Oryctolagus cuniculus: one gene and its partners. The protein of the gene in region 3 purifies or fractionates together with the protein of the main gene of each other region. This does not show direct contact. Links are inferred from orthologs where the notes say so. Each region holds a gene or a part of one and is shown on either strand. Other genes may lie near its edges. The genes, in order: SLC6A8, MTCH2 and OCIAD1.

Evidence for each region.
Region 1: the proteins of OCIAD1 (region 3) and SLC6A8 purify together in Homo sapiens (co-immunoprecipitation; 3 studies listed by BioGRID and IntAct, with this or other methods). This does not show direct contact. The link is inferred for Oryctolagus cuniculus from reciprocal best matches to the Homo sapiens genes OCIAD1 and SLC6A8.
Region 2: the proteins of OCIAD1 (region 3) and MTCH2 purify together in Homo sapiens (affinity purification with mass spectrometry; 3 studies listed by BioGRID and IntAct, with this or other methods). This does not show direct contact. The link is inferred for Oryctolagus cuniculus from reciprocal best matches to the Homo sapiens genes OCIAD1 and MTCH2.

Annotation. Positions count from the first base shown.
Region 1 is NC_091453.1:132,041,268-132,045,332, reverse strand, and holds the start of SLC6A8 (sodium- and chloride-dependent creatine transporter 1), read right to left. Parts: upstream 2,892-4,065; 5' UTR 2,232-2,891; coding exon 1,970-2,231; intron 1,888-1,969; exon of another isoform or gene 1,844-1,887; intron 377-1,843; coding exon 245-376; intron 1-244. UniProt on the Homo sapiens protein: Creatine:sodium symporter which mediates the uptake of creatine. Plays an important role in supplying creatine to the brain via the blood-brain barrier.
Region 2 is NC_091432.1:18,373,101-18,376,691, reverse strand, and holds part of MTCH2 (mitochondrial carrier homolog 2), read right to left. Parts: intron 3,445-3,591; coding exon 3,387-3,444; intron 3,129-3,386; coding exon 3,077-3,128; intron 2,712-3,076; coding exon 2,652-2,711; intron 1,600-2,651; coding exon 1,506-1,599; intron 1-1,505. UniProt on the Homo sapiens protein: Protein insertase that mediates insertion of transmembrane proteins into the mitochondrial outer membrane. Catalyzes insertion of proteins with alpha-helical transmembrane regions, such as signal-anchored, tail-anchored and multi-pass membrane proteins.
Region 3 is NC_091433.1:41,993,065-41,997,110, reverse strand, and holds the start of OCIAD1 (OCIA domain-containing protein 1), read right to left. Parts: upstream 2,816-4,046; 5' UTR 2,536-2,815; exon of another isoform or gene 2,327-2,535; intron 1,189-2,326; 5' UTR 1,184-1,188; coding exon 1,126-1,183; intron 92-1,125; coding exon 11-91; intron 1-10. UniProt on the Homo sapiens protein: Maintains stem cell potency. Increases STAT3 phosphorylation and controls ERK phosphorylation. May act as a scaffold, increasing STAT3 recruitment onto endosomes. Involved in integrin-mediated cancer cell adhesion and colony formation in ovarian cancer.

The DNA of each region.
Region 1 (4,065 bases), on a different chromosome or scaffold from region 3:
GGTATGGGGGACAGCCAGTGGTGGCACCTGTGTGCCCCAGGTGGGGACAGTATAGGGAGTCAGGAATGTTGCGTGGGTCCTGTTCCCAGCCTGGCTATGCCCTCGAGGTCACGGCCGATGTTTCCCAAGGTCAGTGTGGCCTGCATGTCTCCCCCCAGACCGGGGCTCAGGGCAGGCAGACTGGGAGCCAGCTGCAGCGAGCTCCCTGCATGTGGGAAAGGAGGGTCCCTGAAGGGCTGCTCACCTTTGAACAGGGGGCAGATGTTCCAGACGTTGATGCTGCCAGCCTTCATGAACTGGCCTAGGGAAATCTCCAAGAAGAAAATGGGGATTCCTCCCACCAGGGCGATCAGGACGTACGGGATCAGGAACACACCTGGGGGAGGACACGTGGGGCAGCTTCACCTCCCGCAGTGCCCCCTGAAGACCGCTTGGGCAGGTGGCCCCTTCACCAGGACAGGACCGGAAGCATCTCCTGTCCCCAGCCAGGCTGCCCAGGCTCCGGAAGCCCTGAGCCCCAGCACTGGGTGAATCAGTGCAGGGGGTGGCTGCTGACTCAGAGGACCAAGGTGAAGAGTCTTGGGGGGTGGGTTCTGGGCCTCTGGACAGGAGGGGCCATGGTAGCCCCCAGGCCATTAGAGCCATGTTCCCTGGGCGGTGTGTGGGGAGGGTCCTAGGCCCTCTGGGCTCCCACCACCATCACCTGGGATGACCCCAAGAGCCCTGAGGACGCATGCACTGACGCGCACGTCTGTGCGCCAGCGAGGAATGGCCAGGGCTGCGCATGGTGTGTGTGCCCGCGCACCGAGGCTGAGTGATCTAGGGTGCGGGCCTGGTCTAAAGGCAGCGAGTCTGACTTGTGAGGGTACAAGGAAGAGGGGGGCAGCTGGCAGTCCTCTGCACGGCGGGGGGGGGGGGGTGTCACTGCAAGGACACGGGGAGACAGGTGGGAGGAAGGGACCAAGCCAGGCATAGCAAGCTCTAGTGGACCAGGCTAGAGACAGGCTTTGGCCAACAGGCCGGAGCCGGGGTAGGGGGGTGGGGGAAGGGAGGGGAGAACCAGGCACCAGCAGCTCCTGTCTACTGCGCTCGCCGCCTGCACTCTTGCCCCTGGCCCAGCTCTCTCCATTGCTTGCCCAGCTTCTGGGCCCAGCATCCTTCTTGTGCGTGACCTTGGGCCAAGGCTTTCCAGTGGCTCCTCAGTTTCCCACCCATCGCCTGGTCACTTGGGCTTCCCAGCAGCAGTGCCGCTTTGCAGTCACAGGACACACGCGTGCCCATCACTGTTGCTAAGCTGGGCTTTGGCGGGCATGGGGCGTGCACGCAGTGTGTCCAGTGGCGGCGCCAGGCGGGCCAGGCTGCAGGCTTCCCAAGCCTGGCGCAGGCACCCAGTGTTCCAGGCCCAGGCCAGAAGGGAGGGGAGGGAAAGTAGGGAAGGGAGGGGAGAGGAGAGGAGGGAGAGGGAGGGGAGGGGAGGGCAGGGCGTGGGGGAGGGACAGTGGCCCATTGTGTGTGTATGTGTGTGCGTGCGCCTATGTACCACTTGTGTGCTGTGCCTGGTGCGGGGGTGCCAGCCAGGGCTCCTCACCTCTTGGAGCCCCCTCCCCAGAAGGTCGCTCTGGCCTTCTTTTCCCATCTCGGTGGCTACTCACTCCAGGCTTGGGCCAGGAGTCTCGGGGCAGCCCCTCGGTTCTGCAGGAGGTTCATCTTCGCCCCGCCCCCCCCCCCACTGCCAGGCACATGACTGGTGAGGGGGGTGGAGGCCGCCGGACTGGGCCACCAAGTGGCCCAGGCCGGCGAGGGGCGGGCCCCGGGCCTCAGTCCCCACGCACCCTGCGGGACCTCCCCAGCTTTTGGACTTCGCCCCTCTGCTCTGGTGGGCCAGAGGTAGGCAGGCAGGCAGGCAGGCAGGCAGGGGGAGGGAACCCCTGGCGAAGATCGGGGCCGCGACAGGGGCGGGGGCGCTCACCTCCGCCGTTCTTGTAGCACAGGTAGGGGAAGCGCCACACGTTGCCCAAGCCCACGGCGAAGCCCACGCACGACATGATGAAGTCCATCTGGCGCGTCCAGGTCTCGCGCGGCGGCACGGCCAGGCAGCCGCCGGGCGCCCCCAGGCCTGCGGGGCCATCGCCCTTGGCCGGGGCCCCGTCGGGCCCGGGCGCGATGAGGGGGCCCTTCTTCTCGTCGCCGGACACGCTGTAGATGCCGTTCTCGGCGCTCTTCTTCGCCATGGCCCCGGCGGGCCGCACGGCTGGGCCGGGGGTCGCGGCGCCTCGCGGGGGCGGGCGGGCAGGGGGCGCCGGAGGCACCCGGGGGTGGGGGGGAGGGCCCCGAAGGCGCGGGCCCGCCCGGGGGCCTCGGGGGCGGCCGGGCCGGGGGGGACGGGGTGGCGAGCGGGCGGGCGGGCGGACGGGGTGCGGGACGGCGGGGGCTGCGCAATCAGAAGCAGTCCACGAAGCACTTGAAAGTGAGCCTGAAGAATCTCATGTGTGTCGGGGGCCCGGGGGCGCGCGGGCGGCGGCGGGGCCCGGCCGAACGGCGGCGGCTCCCGAGGCTTCTGCCCGCGGCTCGGGCGGTGGCGGCGGCGGCGGCGGCGGCGGCTCGCCCGGCCCGAGGCTCAGCCTAGCGGAGCGCGGGCGGCATCAGGCGCCCACTGTCTGCAAGTGGCTACCGGAGCAGGGTCCTGCAGCCCGCGCCCCCAGCCTCGGCCCGAGCCCTCGGCGGCTCCCCTGTTCGCCCGCGGCTTCGGCGGCGGCGGCGGCGGCGGCGGCGGCGACGGCGGCCCGGGCGCGCCTCGCCCCCTCCTTCCCCGCGGCGGCGGCTCCAGCCGCTCTCGGGGCCGCGGCGGGCTCAGCGACTCGCCACCGCACTCCGACTGTCCCTCTCTTCCCCGGCCGCATCGGCCGCTGCTTAAGAACCGACTCCGGGGTGATGTCACTGTCGCCCCACCCCCACGACCGGGCTGCTCCCCCTCCCCCTCTCCCATCCCTCCCTCCCGCCCTCCCCGTCACTCCGCCCACCTCCTCCCGCCCTCCTCCCGAGGAGGAGACGCCGCTCCAGCGGGGAGCAGGATGGCTGCTACCTGGGGCGCCGGCCAGCACTTCCTCCCCAAGGGGCCAGGACCTCGCCCCGGCTTCACCTGGCCTCGCTGACTCCAGATCTGCCTTCCCTCGACCTGCCCTTCCCAGCTTAAAGAAAGCGTCTTCCCTGGCCTCCTTCCAGCCATCCTGTGCCCTCCCTCTTCTCTTCTCCCCTCTCCCTCCAGGCTGGAGCCACCCAGATCTGTCCAGCCTGTCCCATCTCCAGGCTGGGCGGGTGCTGGGTACCAAAGGCAGCAGGCTTCCCGGCCTCCTTGCAGGGCTGGGTCTGTTTCTAGTGAGGGGAGCAAAGGTTGCCGCGTATCTACCTCCAGCTGTGCTGTGGGGCTTTGCACAGGCGCAACCCTCCCGCCCCCCTGGCACTCCGCCCTTCCCAAGAGGTACAGCCTTGAAACGCAGGAGGTCACGGTCAAGGGGATCCTGCCTTGCTGAGGAGGGAGGCTAGACAGGTACAGAAAGGGAGCCTCTTTAGCTCCCTTGGCTTAGTAAGGGGTCCAGCAGGGGCGGCTGACTTGCTGGAATAGGGTAAGGCTGCCCCCTGGTGCCTGGCAGGTGCACAGACCCTCCTCGGAAGGTCTGCAAGCCAGCTCCCCTCTCCTGGCGCTCCTCTCCCCGGGGACGGCCCTCCAGGCGTCCCTCGTCAGAGCAAGGTGGCTGGAAGGGGTCATGGTCATGGTCCTGGCTGGAGGGGGGCGGGTAAAGCGTGCCCCCCTTGGTCCCACACTCCCTGATCTAATTACACACACGGCACTCCCCAGATGGTTCATCCCGTTAAGCTAAGCCCGCAGCCATCCGGCCAGCTTTAGGAAGAAAAGCAGTTCCGGCGCGAGCCAGATTGAACCTGCTAGGTGAGGGAGGGGCAGCATCTCCACCCAAGCTTCCAGGAGGAGCCCCTAGGGGTGTGTGTTTCATGGGAAGAGAGACAGGGGTGTCACCTGTGTTCACAGGGGGTGGGGCTGGGGGGGGA
Region 2 (3,591 bases), on a different chromosome or scaffold from region 3:
CCTCTCTCTCTCTCTCTCTCTCTGCCTCTCAAATAAATCTTAAAAAAAAAAAAGCAGTGGTGAAAATGATCAAGTTGATTTCCATTAACAGATAAATTCATATTATAATAAGAAAGTTTAGGAAAAGGGCCACGGTTGTGGCATAGCAGGTTAGGCTATTGCCTGCATTGCTGGCATCCCATATGGGCATCAGTTTGAGTCCTGGCTGCTCCACTTCCAATCCAGCTCCCTGCTAATGTGCCTGGGAAACCAGTGGAGGATGGCCCAAGTCCTTGGGTCCCTGAACCCATGTGGGAGACCTGAAAAAAAGTCCTGGTTCCTGGCTTCTGCCAAGCCCAGTCCTGGCCATTGCAGCCACCTGGGGACTGAACCGGTGGATGCAAGACCTCTGTCTCTCCCTCTTTCTCTGTAACTCTTTCAAATAAATAAATCTTAATTTAAAAAGTACTTTATTAAAACAAAAAAGTTCATGGAAAATGTGTATTATGAAAAAACTAGGCATGGATTTCAAAAGCCGGTAAACCCAAATAAATCCATCTTTTAATTATATGTCCCACTAAGTTTCTAAAGTACCCTCATATACTGTTTTTTCCTATAGCAGTACAAACATACTTATGATAAAGTTAAATTAGGCACAGTATAAGACTGAGGACAATAATAAAATAGAACAATTACAAAAACATACTGTAATAAAAGTTACATGAATGTGGTCTCTCGGAATGGGAATTTTCTCTTGGATACAAGCTGACAGTGAGGCCACAGAAAGGAAGACCACAGACAAGCGAGGGCCACCTGGAGAAGCCCTCTCCGCTCGAGAAGTGACACCAGTTATGTGTGTGCAGGTGCCCCTTGGTGTGCTTTGTGTTCCACCAAGCCAGGGTGCTGCCTGTAGACAGAGTCCCTGTAACTGCTAGGACAGGGAGACAATGGCCAGGAAATGCTGATTCTCAACACCTCGCAGGCTGAGGCTTCTGGAAAGCTCAATTCAAAAGCTAATACTTCAGATGAGGCCAAAAAAACAAAAAAACCCAAACAAACAAAACGTAGTAATCTCAACAAGAACAAAAAGAAAACAAAACAAGAAAAGAAGAAAAAGGGGCCAGCACTATGGCATAGCAGGTTAAGCCGCTCTCTGTAACACCAGCATCCCACACTGGAGTGCCAATTGCTCGACTCCTGATCCAGCTCCTTGCTAAGGCACTTGGGAAAGCAGTGGATGACGGCCCGAGTTCCAGGCTCCCAGCTTGCACTGGCCTTGCCCTAGCTGTTCTGTGGACATTTGGGGAATGAATCGTGGAGGGAAGATCTTTGCTGTCTCTTCTCTTTCTGCAGTTCTGCCTTTGAAATGGTCTCCGTGAATCCTGCACAGGCACAGGGGCAGGACTAGAACTCTAGGTCCACCTCTCTACAGTAAACTGTGTACATTATTCCTTTAAAGCTAACTGTGCAGCCAAGTGAATACAGAACAGCCCACACCAGAACATCTCACCCAGGTCACAACCTACCCCACTGTCCAGTGCATAGGTATTGACAAGGTACGCCAGCGAGTTACAGAGCCACAAAGAAATTATGTCACCCAGGAGGCGAGGAATAAGACCCCTACATGAAGAAAAATAAGAACCCCGAAATATGATCAGTAAAAAGGTATGCACTCAATGCCAACTCTCAAAGAATTAAGAAATTTCAAAACTCTAGGCAGCTGAAAAGGCATTAAACACCAGACTCCACCCTTATTTCTAGGTGTCCTTGAGGCTGGTCTCTAATGACTTCCGTTCCCATTTTTAAAACACAGGTCAGCTGTAGCTCTCTGAACTGAGGCCACTGGCTCACCTTCATATTAGTGACTCTAAGCAGGGAGGCCAAATATTTACAAGGCACTTTGGAGAAGAAACTTAAATATGGTTTTACCCCACCATTTGACATTCAAATTACAAAGAGAGAACAATCCAAAGATAACAAATGAGAGACATCAAAAAAAAATGTTTCCAGGGTCCAAGAGACTAGGTGAGACAGCCTAGAACAGTGGGAAGAACATGACCCACAGACAAAAGACCACGGTTCTAATGTCCTCTGTCACCTACCAGCCATGTGACAGGTAGCAAACAAATGGGCCTGGGCATAGAGTTCTTTTAATTTCTATGATATGACTAGGGTAGCTGTGCTGCCGACCTCCCAAAGCATTTGTGATACTCAAAGTGTGTGCAAATATTCTGAAAACTGGCTAATAATGCAGAGTTTTTCTTAACAGAAAAAGGAGTATAGTCTAAGTTTTGCCAAAGTAAATTCAAGCCTTGCAAAACTTATTTTCTTAGAATAAGAAAAATACATGTTAAGAGGATTTCTCCATTTTTCAAAACTTAATTTTCCTTATTTGATAAACTACATATGACTGGAAAACTACTTTAAAGGGTAGAACCTTGTCATTAACTTATTAAAAATCCTCATTTCAAAATCTTAAATATCTAGGAGAAAAAGTCTGGGATCTTTACAACAAGAGAATTTAAGTCAGAGGGACCTAAATACAGCTTAAAATGAAGTGAACCCAGGAAGGCCACTTTCTCCAGGGATTAAACCAAGATTCACTGTCCATATTTTCAGAAAGCTTCTGGCTCACCAACAAATCACACACTCACACGTCAACAGCAACTCACGCAAAAAATCCCAGGATGCCTTCTTCCCGATAGATGGTTACTATGGAGTCATAAAGTCCACTGGGCACGCAGGAAAGAAAGGTAAACACATTAAGATTATTTTGGAGCTATAAAAAATATAATTACCACTTTTGACAAGGTCAAATTTACCACCCCGCCCCGTCCACTTTCTAGTGCCCACTCACTCTGCAGACAGATCAATCTGGAGATGGAAGAAGGACCGAACTACCTAAGGGCATAGCTGGTATCAGACTCGCCAACTTATTCCTGAGACCTGGGGTGGGCTCCAAACCCTGCCTGAGGTTATTTTTCCCATATTTTACTTGTTTATGTGCAGGTCAAACTCTAAGGAATCATAACAACGCAAGGTAGTATACATTTTGGTTAACAAAGCTTCTAGAACACTTGTAAACAAAAACACTTACCAGTACTTGGATTCTCTGCCAATGAATTGTACCATAGATCTCAGTGTGATCACTGCAGAACACAGAGAAGAGACTTTTAAAATTAAGCGGAGATACATTTTGATAGCCCTGGAAAAAAAATGGCTTTCCATCTAAAGACACTTCACTCTCTGGAAAAACTGGGTATAAGCCAAAACAAGCAAGTAAACAATAACAGGCAGGCAAGGAAGGCACTTCACTTAACTACCATGTCAACCTATCTAAGCAGTTAAGAGAGATCCAGTTGCACAAAGACAGGAAATCAGGTTCCAGTGATCAAGCGCGAACATACCGTGGAAGGGATGTGTGATGAGGGTAGCAGCAGATCGAGCGATCATCTCTCGAGTTGTCTAGAAACAATCAACACACACTTCTGAAATCTAATGACACTCAAATTCCTGCGAGGGGAACATGAGTGGATACTGTAGTGGGAGACACTGAGCCCTCCTCCCCGCAGTCAGAACAGCCTGAATGGGGTGGGCTCCCAGACACCGTCA
Region 3 (4,046 bases):
TTAAACTCACATCTGAACCAGAAGCTTTCATCATTGCATTCTGCGAAGACTCTTCTTTCTTCTTCTGTTGGAATGTAATCAGCCCCTATGTCTTTTACCAAAGCAAATTGGAAAATATTTAAATACCCATAAAACAACTCAGTTTTATCTAAATATTAACAAAATACACCAGTATTTTTTCTTAATGAAGTAGTGAAACAGTTGCTTGAAAACTTTTCACAAAATTGGACTTCAAACAGAATTTAATCCTACTCTGGGCTAGAAAACTCTTACTAGAAAATTTGCTAGCACCAGGCACTGTGGCACAGCGGGTTAACGCCCTGGCCTGCAGCACCTGCAGCCCATATGGGTGCCGATTCAAGACCTGGCTGCTCCACTTCCAATCCAGCTCTCTGCTGTGTCCTGGGAAAGCAGCATAAGAAGGCCCGGATCCCTGGGCCCCTGCACCCGAGTGGGAGACCCAGAAGAAGCTCCTGGCTCCTAATCAGCGCAGTTCCGGCCGTTGCGGCCAATTGGAGAGTGAACCATCAGATGGAAGACCTCTCTGTGTCTCTCTCTGCCTCTCCTCTCTCTGTGTAACTGTTTCAAAAAAAAAAAAAAAAAAAAAAAAAAAAGAAAGAAAGAAAAAGAAGAAAATATGCTAGACTCAGTACAAAATGGAAAGGTGAGACCCCTTGCTCAGATTACTAAGAATATGAAGATGGTGGCGCCAGTTCATGTCCTGGCTGCTCCTCTTTAGATCCAACTTTCTGCCATGGCCTGGGAAAGCAACAGAAGTTGGCCCCGAACCCTTGCAGGAGAGCTGGGGGAAGCTCCTGGTGCCAGATTGGCACAGCTTCAGCCATTGCAGCCACTTGGGGAGCGAACCAGCAGATGGAAGACCTTTCTCTCTGTCTCTCCCTCTCTCTGTTTGTAACTTTACCTCTCAAATAAATAAATAAATAAATCTTAAAAAAAAAAAAAAGTATCAGATGGCAACTGTAGAACATTAAACCAAGTGTGGGGTCCTGTGTGAATGCACAGATCAAACACCTATGAAGACCAGCACAGCTGCTACTGTTATTCAAGTGGCATTTTCTTTACATAGAAAGTGCTTCTATTTATAAATACTTAATAGATAGTTACGGGGAATTGGTCTTGGAACTTCTGCATTCGGCTCTCGAAAATCAGCCCTCCCGTTCATCTTCCCTGTATCAAAAACATTTATATTAAGCATTAGAAACTATCAACAAATTAGAAGCAACCAACAAATATTTACTAAACACCAAACATTAAGTACAGTAACTTGATATAATAAAACAGCTACATGAAAAAGTTACATTCTTACTAAAAATTTGGGACTAATTATTAATGTTAGGTTCCTGAATTGAAAAGAGGTGCTTTATAAGTATTTGTCATCTATTTTGGTTTCTCTTCAGAATGAATAAATCTTTCGCCTTTTTTAAGTATCTGTCATCTGCTTAATATAATGATACAAAACACCACCTCAACAACTGAAAAATTTTCCCTTACTGAAGCTTTTTAACCTTTCAGAAGTCGATACACAATGATTAAAATAGTTCTCCAAAGTAGAAGACTTAAAAACCTCAAATCATTCCTGGGTTTCAATTTTAAAAAATGAAATCATCAATCTGGACACACGCAAAGCAGTACTCAAAAAAAAAACGGAATAACAAAGACGTCATAACCTTCTCCTTTGCTGATAACAGCAAATTCCTCAAACTTTCCTCCCTCACCCAGATAATCTTCAAATGACATAGAATATGAGAAAGAAATGTACATTACAAAAATACACATTTTTATTTCTCAATTCTTACTGTTTTTCTTAACCCATCCCTCAGCGCTTAACAGACCAACAGACCAGGTAACTAGTGTATATAATGTTAACTAACATAAGCTTCGGATTATTCTCACTTTAAAGGCAATTTGCATAAAAACAGGAAATGGCATACACGAAGAAGTCTGGCAATTGGACCTTTTCATAAACCATCACTGAGGGCCTACTATACAACCCCTTAGACAGAGAATAGAAATAAAAACAGGATGAATTCGTGCATGGCTGGAGCCTGTTGAACAAACTACTTACACCTTAACCTCCTAGGAAATAATGCAACCTTCTCACTTCCCACAACGGTATCTTCTAGAAACCCTAAAAGGACATTGTCAAGGCCGACAAGGCCCCTTAAAACAGTACCACTTTAATCTCTTAATTCCATAAACAAAAAACCTGAATTGAACGCTCGCCAGCCTCCCGCCGTACTCCATCCTCCACCCACACTATACCCCTGTCCCACCAGCCATTCCCGAACAACACCCCCGCACATACGTCACCACCACCTTCTCTCCCCCACACCCCACCAAGGACAACCCCTCGCTCGCCCAGGCACCAGCACTCAGAGGCCCGAGACCCAAAGCGCGATCGGTCCACCCCGCAGGAGGAAAATGGCGGAAGGTGCAAACGAGTGGATAGCCGCGCTAAGGTGGAGAGCATAGACGAAGGGGGGCAAATGGCACTTTCTGCGTCACCTCACCCACCTCCCGACGACAGCGGCAGGCGACTGCGAGGCGAGCCCGGGCGACCGGGGCAGATGAGGACCCAAAAAGGGGTAGGGAGGGCGAAAAGCGAGTAGGAGAGCTGCGGGGGTAGGGGTGGGCAGCGACGCAGCCGCCCACGAATCCCCAAGACAAGGGCTCAAAAATGACCGCGACCCGGAAACACTAGTGGCCCACGGCAGGAAATCACGTCAAGGCCTCCCTGCAGCATCTACAGGCGCGTGGCGCCCGGGTGGCCATCTGCGCCTGCGTCTGCCTGCCCCGCCCTCCGCTGCCCGTCCGTCCTCGCTTCACACGCCAGCCGCGGCGCTGACGAGCTGCACTGCGGCTGCGCGGCTACCGCCGCCGGCCAGGAGGCCGCCCCGCCCCCTCCCTGAAGGCGAGTGGAAGCGAGGCTGAGGCTGTTGTGACGCACCTCGCTCATCTTCCTGTGACACAGCCTGACTGGAACCCTGCACCTTCGTCCGCTTGTTGCAAGTTCCCAGCTTTTCTTGTTTTTCAATGTTTTGAGGCTTAGCCTCTAGGCTCTATCGTACGACTCAACTTTTAAGCATGCGCGGTAGTTTAGCTGGGAGACCTTCTGGAGTCTAGTGTCTGACCAGGTCTAGAACCTTCCAACATATTGCTTCTTAGGATTTTTTTTTTTGCTAATTTCTAATAAAAAATGGAAATAATAGCCATTTCATAGGGTTGTTAGGATTAAAACACATCTAAAATGAGGCGCAGGTGCTCGCTGTGTTAGCGAGCATATATTTGAGAGCAGGACTTGGATTTGTCTGGCAGACACCATGCTGCCACACCCAGCAACCATTCGTTCCTTTTCGTTCATTCATTCCCTCCGCAAGTACTTACTGAGTACTTATTGGTGCTGAAAGATGTTGGTGACTCGACAGAGAGCAATCCCAGTCTTCAAATTTCATCAGCTCCTAAAACCTCTCAGATGTCATCTCTTTGTGAGCCCCTTTGCCTCTATCCTTACTTTGTCTTTTTTTTTTTTTAAGATTTATTTATTTGGAAGGCGGAGTTGTGGGGAGCAATCCGGACTTGACTAAGTTACTCGAATTGGGACTTATTCTATGCATCTGCTCTCCCACAATGTGGCGTTGGGAGAGAAGTAAACAGCTTCCGCACAGCTGCCTCCAGTTCAACTGATAAACTGTAGGACTTGCTCCTGATTGGAGGAGAGCAGCGTACTCGGCGTGTGGGCAGCCGAGTTGGGATTGGCGGAGGAGGACTATAAAGGAGGAGAGAGACGGCATGCACCAGGAACATCTATGGGGAACATCTAAGGGAACCCGTGCAGCCCCCGAGAAAGCCGGCCGGCGGTGTGCCGCTCCCCTGCGGAAGTGGGGAATGTGGCCAGGAGGAACTGCCCTTCCACGGAGGTGGAAGGGATAGTAGCCAACCCGGGAAGAACCAGCAGCAAACCCGGGGAGGGCCGAGCAGACGAAAGAACAGCGCAGGGTCCTGTGTCGTTCCTCCACGAAGAGGGG